Linked DNA regions of Drosophila melanogaster. The protein of the gene in region 1 purifies or fractionates together with the protein of each later gene. This does not show direct contact. Each region holds a gene or a part of one and is shown on either strand. Other genes may lie near its edges. The genes, in order: Elba1 and Elba2.

Region 1 (4,141 bases):
CTAACTTAAAATTTTATGGTATTTGCCTCAAGAAATCCATTTTGCATTAAACAGGTCGCATATTTTTATTTATTTTTATAAATATAATAACATATAACTATGTCTGTTTGTAATGCTCAAAACTGATTGAAGCACGGAAAAGTCACAAGTGTGAACGATACGTTATCGAAATTCGATGCTGTGTGTAAGATAGCTTTTCCCTACCAGTGTTGCCACATGGAACATAGAAATGAGTAATAAATTATGTACAGTTTAGACAATCAGAAACATTTTCTTTTGCATAGTCCAAATTATTTGTTATATTTAGTGTCCAATGAGTGCCCCGAACAAAGAAATCGTCAAAGGGAGTTTGACAGCACAGCAAATTAGACAAAAACACCAATATGTACGCCTGATAATGTTATTAAGAAGGTAAAAATAAGACATTCTCCAGTGGTTTCTCCAATTTCACAACGTGCACTTTCAGAAGAGTCTATTTCCCAAGGAAGACGAAAAGTGATTACTCCCTGACCCGCATCAATTTCAATTCCACTGGTGAGTTGGGTAAGAAAGTGGGTTTCTTTATTCAATTGGTGTTATCGGCTGTGCCGGGACTTAGTATACTGTAGAATCAGAATTAGGGTTTTAACGGGTAAATGGACCTACTTTCGGGAATTCATTCCTAGAAAATGAAAAAGGAGGTCTTTCCCAGGGAGTTTCCATGGAAAAGTTTCCTACTTTGATTTGCGCTGCATTCGCGAGCGTAGCATCTTGTTTTCATCCGCACATTTGGTGGTGATGGCAGTGCGCACTTCCCGCGGAGTCATGTCCAGGCTGTTAGTCATCAGATAGACCAGATCGGCCACCTTGAGCGGATCCAGCTGCTGTTTGCTGGGACGGGCACAGTCCCTAAATGCCGGCGATGGTTTTCCGGATAGCGTATGATGGGCCAGTGTATCCCGGTCGAAGATCTCGCAGAGCAGCTTCCTCGTGATCGAGGGTCCGGTCATGTCCCAGTTGATGGCACTTAGGCTAATGCGGGAAACTTCGGTGCCATTGGGACCGATCGTCACCATCGGCGATTCGCCGTCCAGGTCGAATTCGAAACCAGGACACCGCCGTTTCGCATTCGGAGTGGAGGTCACCGGTTTCTTGATACGCTTCCTCTTGTTACCCATTGTCTCTTCTCCGCCGGGCACATAGTCCTCATCGTCATCGTCCAAACCAAGATCTTCGTCGTTTGTTTTCGGCGTCGAGGTGTTGTGCTCATCGGCTCCATCGCGAAACGCGTTAAAAGGCTCCGAACTCTGCTCCTGATCCTGGTCCTGCTCATGAGACTGTTTGTGCTCTGGCTCCTGATCCATTTCCTGGACCTTTTCAATTTCGATGGTGAGGAGATCGAGAGCCTTGCGCTTACTGCGCTCCCATTGCTGGAGAAGCTTCAAACGCGCCTCATTTACCGCCTGGATGGTGTTCCTCATCAGCTGCGAGTACTCCACATCCTGCACCATGTCATCGAAATCCTGATCCGGTGAACGCTGTGTCCTTAGCAGCTTCTCAGCAGCCAGTGTAAGAGTTTCCAGAGTGCTCAGCTTGCCACTATCGGACATTTCGATGTGTCGCATGGCGGAATCGGCAAACTCATTTGCATCTTGAATGCGCCGCACCTTGCAGTCATCGCTCTCCTCCTCCGTAAAGGAGTCATCCGTTCGCAGGCGGGCGATGATCGCCTCCACTTTTTTCTGCGTTTCAGACAACTGAACTGTCTCGGGATCATAGGGCAATAGGGTCAGGGCGAATTCCAAACGCTGACGGCGGTTAATCTACAAGGAAATGATTTTTTATTTTAAAATGCTTGGTATTTGCTTCTATTTAACTTACCATTGTGCTGCTTGTTGTCCACTTGCAAACTGAATTACTGCTAATAAGTCAACACCTTATATACCACCAATGCGAAAACCTTTACAGGTAGTTTCTTCCAAATACTGATTAATCCTTTTATTACCCTTTTTAATTTTGCAGATGCTTCCATGGCCGATTCGCTGCCCACCGGGGCGACTGCAACTCGCCTACCTGCCGGAGCAACTTGCAGCTGTCGTTCCATTTCGGGACGCCCGAAACCCGCTGCCATCGCCTCGGAATCAACCCAAACCATAGCTTCCACCGAGGACATGGGCACTCAAACCGTCTTCCAAACGGATCCCAATGAGGATTTCGATTGTGGCCAAGATGCATCCACCCAATCGATGCTTAATATGCATGATGTAGAGACTCAATCGATTCCAGTATCGTCCAAAAACCTTAACAGCATACAAACGCAAACGGACTATGAAGAACCAAAAACTGTCCGTTTTCCGTTGAAAAAATATTCGAAGACTGAGCATGAAGAAAAAAGACCTAGAAAATCGAATACTTCATTGCGCAAATGTTTTTTCAAGCGCCCATTAATCGTAGTCAAAGGCGGCGCTCTTATATCTTCCGATTTTACAGCCAATATCCATCAAAGTAGAATGGAGAACGTATCTGTCACTACCAGAAAAGAAGATAAAGAAACACAATATGAAAACCATTTTGGGACACAATCAAATAGTTCAGACGATCAGCCTTCAGATCCTTCAACGTGTTCAAAAATCCTCGATAGAGTTCAGAAACTGGAAGCCATAATGAAGAGACAGGAGCTTTTTCTAAGGGATCTACAGGGCTCTGTGAAATCGTGGAAGGTCCAGGAATGCAAACCCTCTGATTGTAGGATCATATTTCAAGGTAAACCGGAAGCATGTGAATTGCCAAAAAAACTAGAAACATCTGATCAGGCATCACAGATAAACGATATACACGAGGAACGCAAATTGCCAATAAAACCGGAAGGTTTTAACCAGTCATCCCAGAAAAAATATACAGCTCGTTCCGAGGAACAAAAGTTGCCAATACAACCTGAACCTTTTAACCAGTCATCCCAGAAGAAATATACAGCTCGTTCCGAGGAACAAAAGTTGCCAATAAAACCTGAACCTTTTAACCAGTCATCCCAGAAAATATATACAGCTCGTTCCGAGGAGCGAAAATTGCCAAGAAAACCTGAAAATGTTGATCAGGCTACACAAAAAAAAGATACAGCTAATTGCGAGTGCAAAACGCTATCCAAAGAATTTATTCAAATATTTTTGAAGCCTGAAACTGCTCAAGAAAAGCAGAAATCAAATAATTCTCAACGCACCACAGATACCCCAATAAACTCGGAAAACTCAACTGGTCTACAATGCAGTAGAGAATGTAATGGAAGTTCTAGCAAAGACAATCGGAGATGTTGTAAGGCGAATGGATATGAAATGCATCTGAAAGGTGACCAATTCCCAACTGCTAAACAATGCTTAAAAGATACCGAAAATTTTCTAGAACAATTTAATCGGGTTTTTGCTAAAACAAAAAGCGAAGAAACACTTTCCGACAAGTCTAGAAATACTTCAGCTTTCTCTGCAAATCCCACGAAACAAAATGATACTGAACATGGGGTTGAAAACTTACTGGGTGAAATTGTTAAAAAACCCAAATCAAAGGTTTCCTCCACATCTTGCTTGGAGGCAAAGAGTTCCGAACAATCCAATAAAAGTGTAGAGAAGGAATTATACAAATCCTTTATTGAACAGCTTATTAGTCATTTCACAAAATCCAAGTCGTGTGAAAATAATCAGGCGCAGAATGCCCAATCAGAGTCCTACTCATTCGATCGCTTACTGCCGGAATTCGTAAAAATGTTTACGAGATCCAACAGCCTCGAGGAGGACAGACCCAAAAAAGTGAGCATATCAGAGAAGAAAACCATTTTGGGTGCCAATCCGATGACCAGCTTCAATTGTTCGAAAACTCCTCATAATATTAAATCCACTGCACTGAAATCGGAACTTAAGACGTCGGATATGGAATTGGATGCGAACGGACGTAGGGGTTCCTGTCAACTAGAAGGAGAATCTAAACCAAGTGCAATTTTTAGGAACACCCAGCGGATGAATAACCCGCCACGTGGTTGTCAATACTGTGGCGATGGCAGTCTGCCCATTCTGGATTCCTTGATGGATGAAATATTTCGGCTAATTGGGCAGCGGCCCTTCGATGACGTGGTCCTTACCATACTGCGTCAAGAGGATAATGTCTACCACATCAA
Region 2 (4,105 bases), 2.1 Mb from region 1:
TATAAGATTGCTCCAATCCTGAAAACCGCATATGCGCTATTTTCCAGGAACGATGATCTGAAGATCGGAACCCTGGTGGGCATCGACAAGTACGGCAACAAGTACTTCGAGAACCCGTACTACTTCTACGGCCGCAATCGCTGGATCGAGTTCGCCCCCCACGTCAACATGGACTACGATGGATCCATGATTCCCGCCGAGTGGTACGGCTGGATGCACTACAAGGTGGGTTTAGACTACATCTTGTCGCACATGTTATTACCTTTTTCCTTATAGACCGATCTGCCTCCCATTCGCGATGGATGCCGCCCCAAGTACAAGTGGATAGCGGACCACAGCGAGAATCTTTCCGGAACTAAGGGTAACTATGCACTATTCCCATTAAGTAAGCCCCCTAATTCAATCCTGCTCTTGCAGAGGCCTACTACCCCTACTCCACAACACCCAACAAAGTGGAGGCCTGGGAACCCAAGGCGAAGAAGCAGTAGTGTGGCATAGCTTATAATTATTTTTAAATTCAAGTGCAAATGGCTGCGATTGATGAGAACACCCGATCGAGTTAATAAACCCAATTTTGTTGACTCTGCACTCGAAGAACAATTTTAGCAATGGACAGAAAAGTGAAGTAACTCTGCCTATTCCCATATTATTCAGGTTTTGAATTGGTTTCATCTTGTCTTTATTCAATCACAGCTAGATTATATAACTTTACTTTTACTTTTAGCAGGACCTACTACGAATATATACAATGTCTTTCTGCGCCTTTCGTGGCGCGTCGTTGAGAAGAGCTTGATCATAGCTGGATTATATCTAGCCAATAGTTGTCCACTCCATGCTAATACTCCTCCTTGATGGCGACCTTCTGGGCCTTCTTGGCCCGCCTCTTGTACTTCTTGGCGGTATCCGCACACTTGGTAGTGATGGTGGCCCGAATCACCCGTTCCTTGCCGCCCGTCCGGTTTCTCACACAGACCACGATGTCGTCCACCTTGCGTTGGTCTAACTGGAGCTTTGGGGGTCTTTCGCGGCCGTAGAATGCGGGCGACGGCTTCCCGGTCAGCGTGTGGGTAGCCAACTCATCGCTGCTGAAGACAACGCAAAGAAGACACCTCGTGGCCACCGGGGCGTTGGTCCAGAAGACCTCACCGTACTGATGGGCTGTGATCTGGGTGCCATTGGGTCCCAGTACGTACACCGCACTGCCGTCCTCCTTTTGCACTCGGTGCGGGTACTGCACAAGAGTGTCTTTCTCGTCCTTTTCAGAGGCAGTATCTGGGATGTGCGATTCCGACGAACTGGTGGACATGTGGCGCGGTCTCTTGGAGGGCGGCGCGGGCACATCCTCGGCATCGTTGTCGTACCGCTGATTCAGGGTCTTTAGCATGGAAGTGAGACGACCAAAGAGTTGTTCGTAGTGGTGCTGACTCTTCTGGATTTTGGCCACTTGCTGCTTAAAGGATTCCTCCAGGCGAGGCAGTGGCTCCACCCGCGGTTCGATGTTCTTAATGCCCCCGGAAGCGGTGGCTACCGCTACCAACTGGGCATTGATGACGCGTCGCTTGGGCGGAGAGCTTCGGCGGACTGGCACTGCCTTAACGGGAACTGGCTTAACTGGCTGGTTGACTATTATGGGAGGCGGCATTTGGATCTGCAGCTGACCCAGGGGCTTCAGGGTCCGCTGGCGCATCATGGTCTGCTGGGCGGCCACCTCGTAGTTGATGTAGTTCTCGATGTCCATCTCCTCCTGCTTCATTATGGGCCGCGAGAGCAGGCGGTAGTAGTAGGGCACGAAGTTCGGGGCGAACTGGCTCAGATAGTGGTGATATGGGTGGGAGTACTGGACGCTGGGCAGGATAGCAGTCTGCGGATGAAAGTAGTGCGGCTCCGTTTTGCAAACGACTGACATGCTGAATTCCGGAGCCTCGCTATTTGTAAGGTTAGGACACGAGTCCTGATCGTACGGTCGAAATCCGCCGGCCATTTGCACGCGGATTTTGGCAACAGGTAAAGGCAAAAAGGTTTATTTCTGGCAAAAAACGCAGCTGCGTCGGCTTTCTTGGCTTATTTTGCGTATTATTCGTTGGAAAAATTGGTGTTTTATGGCCCGGCTTAACAGTTATTGTTCCTTGCGCCAGATACCTGAGAATCCGAAAATCTTAATCTTGCAGGGCTGCCAAGGTCGCCGAATAAAGATAATTTGCATTCGATAATTGGAAGTAGAGTCTAAAATATTCGCCTTTAGGCTTTACTTAAATTCTTATGGAAATATAGGAGTAACATGATTAAAAAACCGTTTGCTTCTGAAGGCTAGTCTTAAATACGAAATACTCGTACATGTTTTAACTCAAAAAGTTATGCCTTGAAATTTTAAAGGCAGTACCATATATCCTTGAGTGTATTTTCCGCTCATTCAAAATGCATTACAATGGACGGAATTCCAGTAGACTTACCCTTAAATAGGTATCCCTTCTAAAATGGAATTTAAGGGTGTTTTTTTTCCGATCAGAGAGCATTTGAGCGAAGAATTATATTCCAAAAGGATCTCATGTATTGGAAGGGTTCCCAATACATTCAAATTGCAATGGATAATATGCAGTCCGGGTCCTGAAAACCGGTTTTTTTTTTACAAAACCCAACTATTGTCCTTTTTGGTTCTTGGAACTGTGGAAAGAATTCTTACACATTCCTTTGTTACATTTACTTTTTTCTCTTATTTTCTGACCTTCGCCAAAGTGCAGAATACAGAATTTTAACCAAACGGATATTCTGAAAAGAAAAAGAAAAAAACTTTATAGAGAGAACTTAAAAATTTAAAACCCTCGTGACTTGCAACCGATAGTTTTATTTCATAGCCCTAGGTGTCAACCCTGTCGATGAAAGAGAGAGCAAAAGCAGCTTTATTCGCAATTATTTATAATAATAATTATAATACATATACTGGTTCCCGCGCAAACAACAAATCCCATGCGAAGAAAGGAAAAGACAGCTGGACTTGGACTAGTTGGGAAATAGACGGGGTCCTGAAACAGAAACAGGAATAGGATATCAGCTACCTGGAGGGCACACTCACACACACGCAGAGGCAGGCGCTCTCTTCCCCGTATATGCGTGCGCATGTGTGCGTGCAGGTAGGAATGCAACCACTTTTCGCATTCTGCCGCCAATTTTCAGTTGACGCAGATCCTTTGAGGATTGAACATGGAAAACGTGAGTAGCTGCAGGATATCTCCACCGAATATGTTGATCAAGAGTTTTTCCCATCGAATTGCAGCAATATCAGCGCATAGTCAGCGCCACTGCACGCGAGGATTCGCAGGCAAGGAGGAGCAAGCCCTTGTTTCTGAATGCCTGGTCGCAGACTTCTAGCGTGGACTTCGAGGTGCTTCGCAGCATCTCCGCGCCGGACCCGCAAGTGGAGGTCGAGAACAGAGCGCTCCGCGATAAGGTCCGCTACTTGGAGGCCAAACTGCAGCAGCACAAGGATCTGCTATCCCAGATTCATGCCACCTCCGCCAGGATGCAACAGGCATCCTCCCTGCTGGCAGAAAGTAGACCACCCACGCCGCCCGCGGTCCAGAGCCACCACATTCTCACGCCACCGAGTTCAGAGATATGTGCGCCCGCGCAGAATCCCCAGATTCTGGACTACAAGATCATCTCGGCACCCGACGATGCGGATGCCATTGAGATTCGCCTGGCGGCGGAGAGTCTGAACAGCCTGAGCACCTCTGCGGACTCAGATCGCCTGGAGATTTGCCTGGGCGACGAGAATCATCAGCAGAGCAATCATCACAATTCCCAGCAGCAGTACAGGATTAGCAACGGCATAAAGAGGGATGGTTCCTCCGAGTCCGCCGACACTCCACTACAGTTCATCAAACGCCGCAAGCTGCAGGAGATTCAGTTGCAGGAAGAAATCCCGCGGCAGAACATAAAACTACCAGCCAAACCCCAAGTCAAAGCCCGTAATGGCAGTTTTACCGATCTCAACAAGGGCCAACAGCAAAACATGGACAACGTGATGGTGTCCATTGGCCCGAACAACACCTGTGTGCCCGCCAGTGTCTTCGAGAATATTAACTGGTCGGTGTGCTCGCTGGCCACC

Evidence for each region.
Region 2: the proteins of Elba1 (region 1) and Elba2 fractionate together in Drosophila melanogaster (co-fractionation; one study listed by BioGRID). This does not show direct contact.

The regions. Positions count from the first base shown.
Region 1 is NT_033779.5:4,682,511-4,686,651, forward strand, and holds Elba1 (early boundary activity 1), read right to left. Parts: upstream 1,952-4,141; 5' UTR 1,864-1,951; coding exon 1,861-1,863; intron 1,803-1,860; coding exon 714-1,802; 3' UTR 542-713; downstream 1-541. Other genes in the region: CG11929 (uncharacterized protein), read left to right, coding at 314-411, 467-534, 2,002-4,141. UniProt on the Drosophila melanogaster protein: The heterotrimeric Elba complex is required for chromatin domain boundary function during early embryogenesis.
Region 2 is NT_033779.5:2,575,739-2,579,843, reverse strand, and holds Elba2 (early boundary activity 2), read right to left. Parts: upstream 2,158-4,105; 5' UTR 1,982-2,157; coding exon 836-1,981; 3' UTR 665-835; downstream 1-664. Other genes in the region: ND-B17.2 (NADH dehydrogenase (ubiquinone) B17.2 subunit), read left to right, coding at 48-225, 277-361, 418-488; insv (insensitive), read left to right, coding at 3,199-3,207, 3,272-4,105. UniProt on the Drosophila melanogaster protein: The heterotrimeric Elba complex is required for chromatin domain boundary function during early embryogenesis.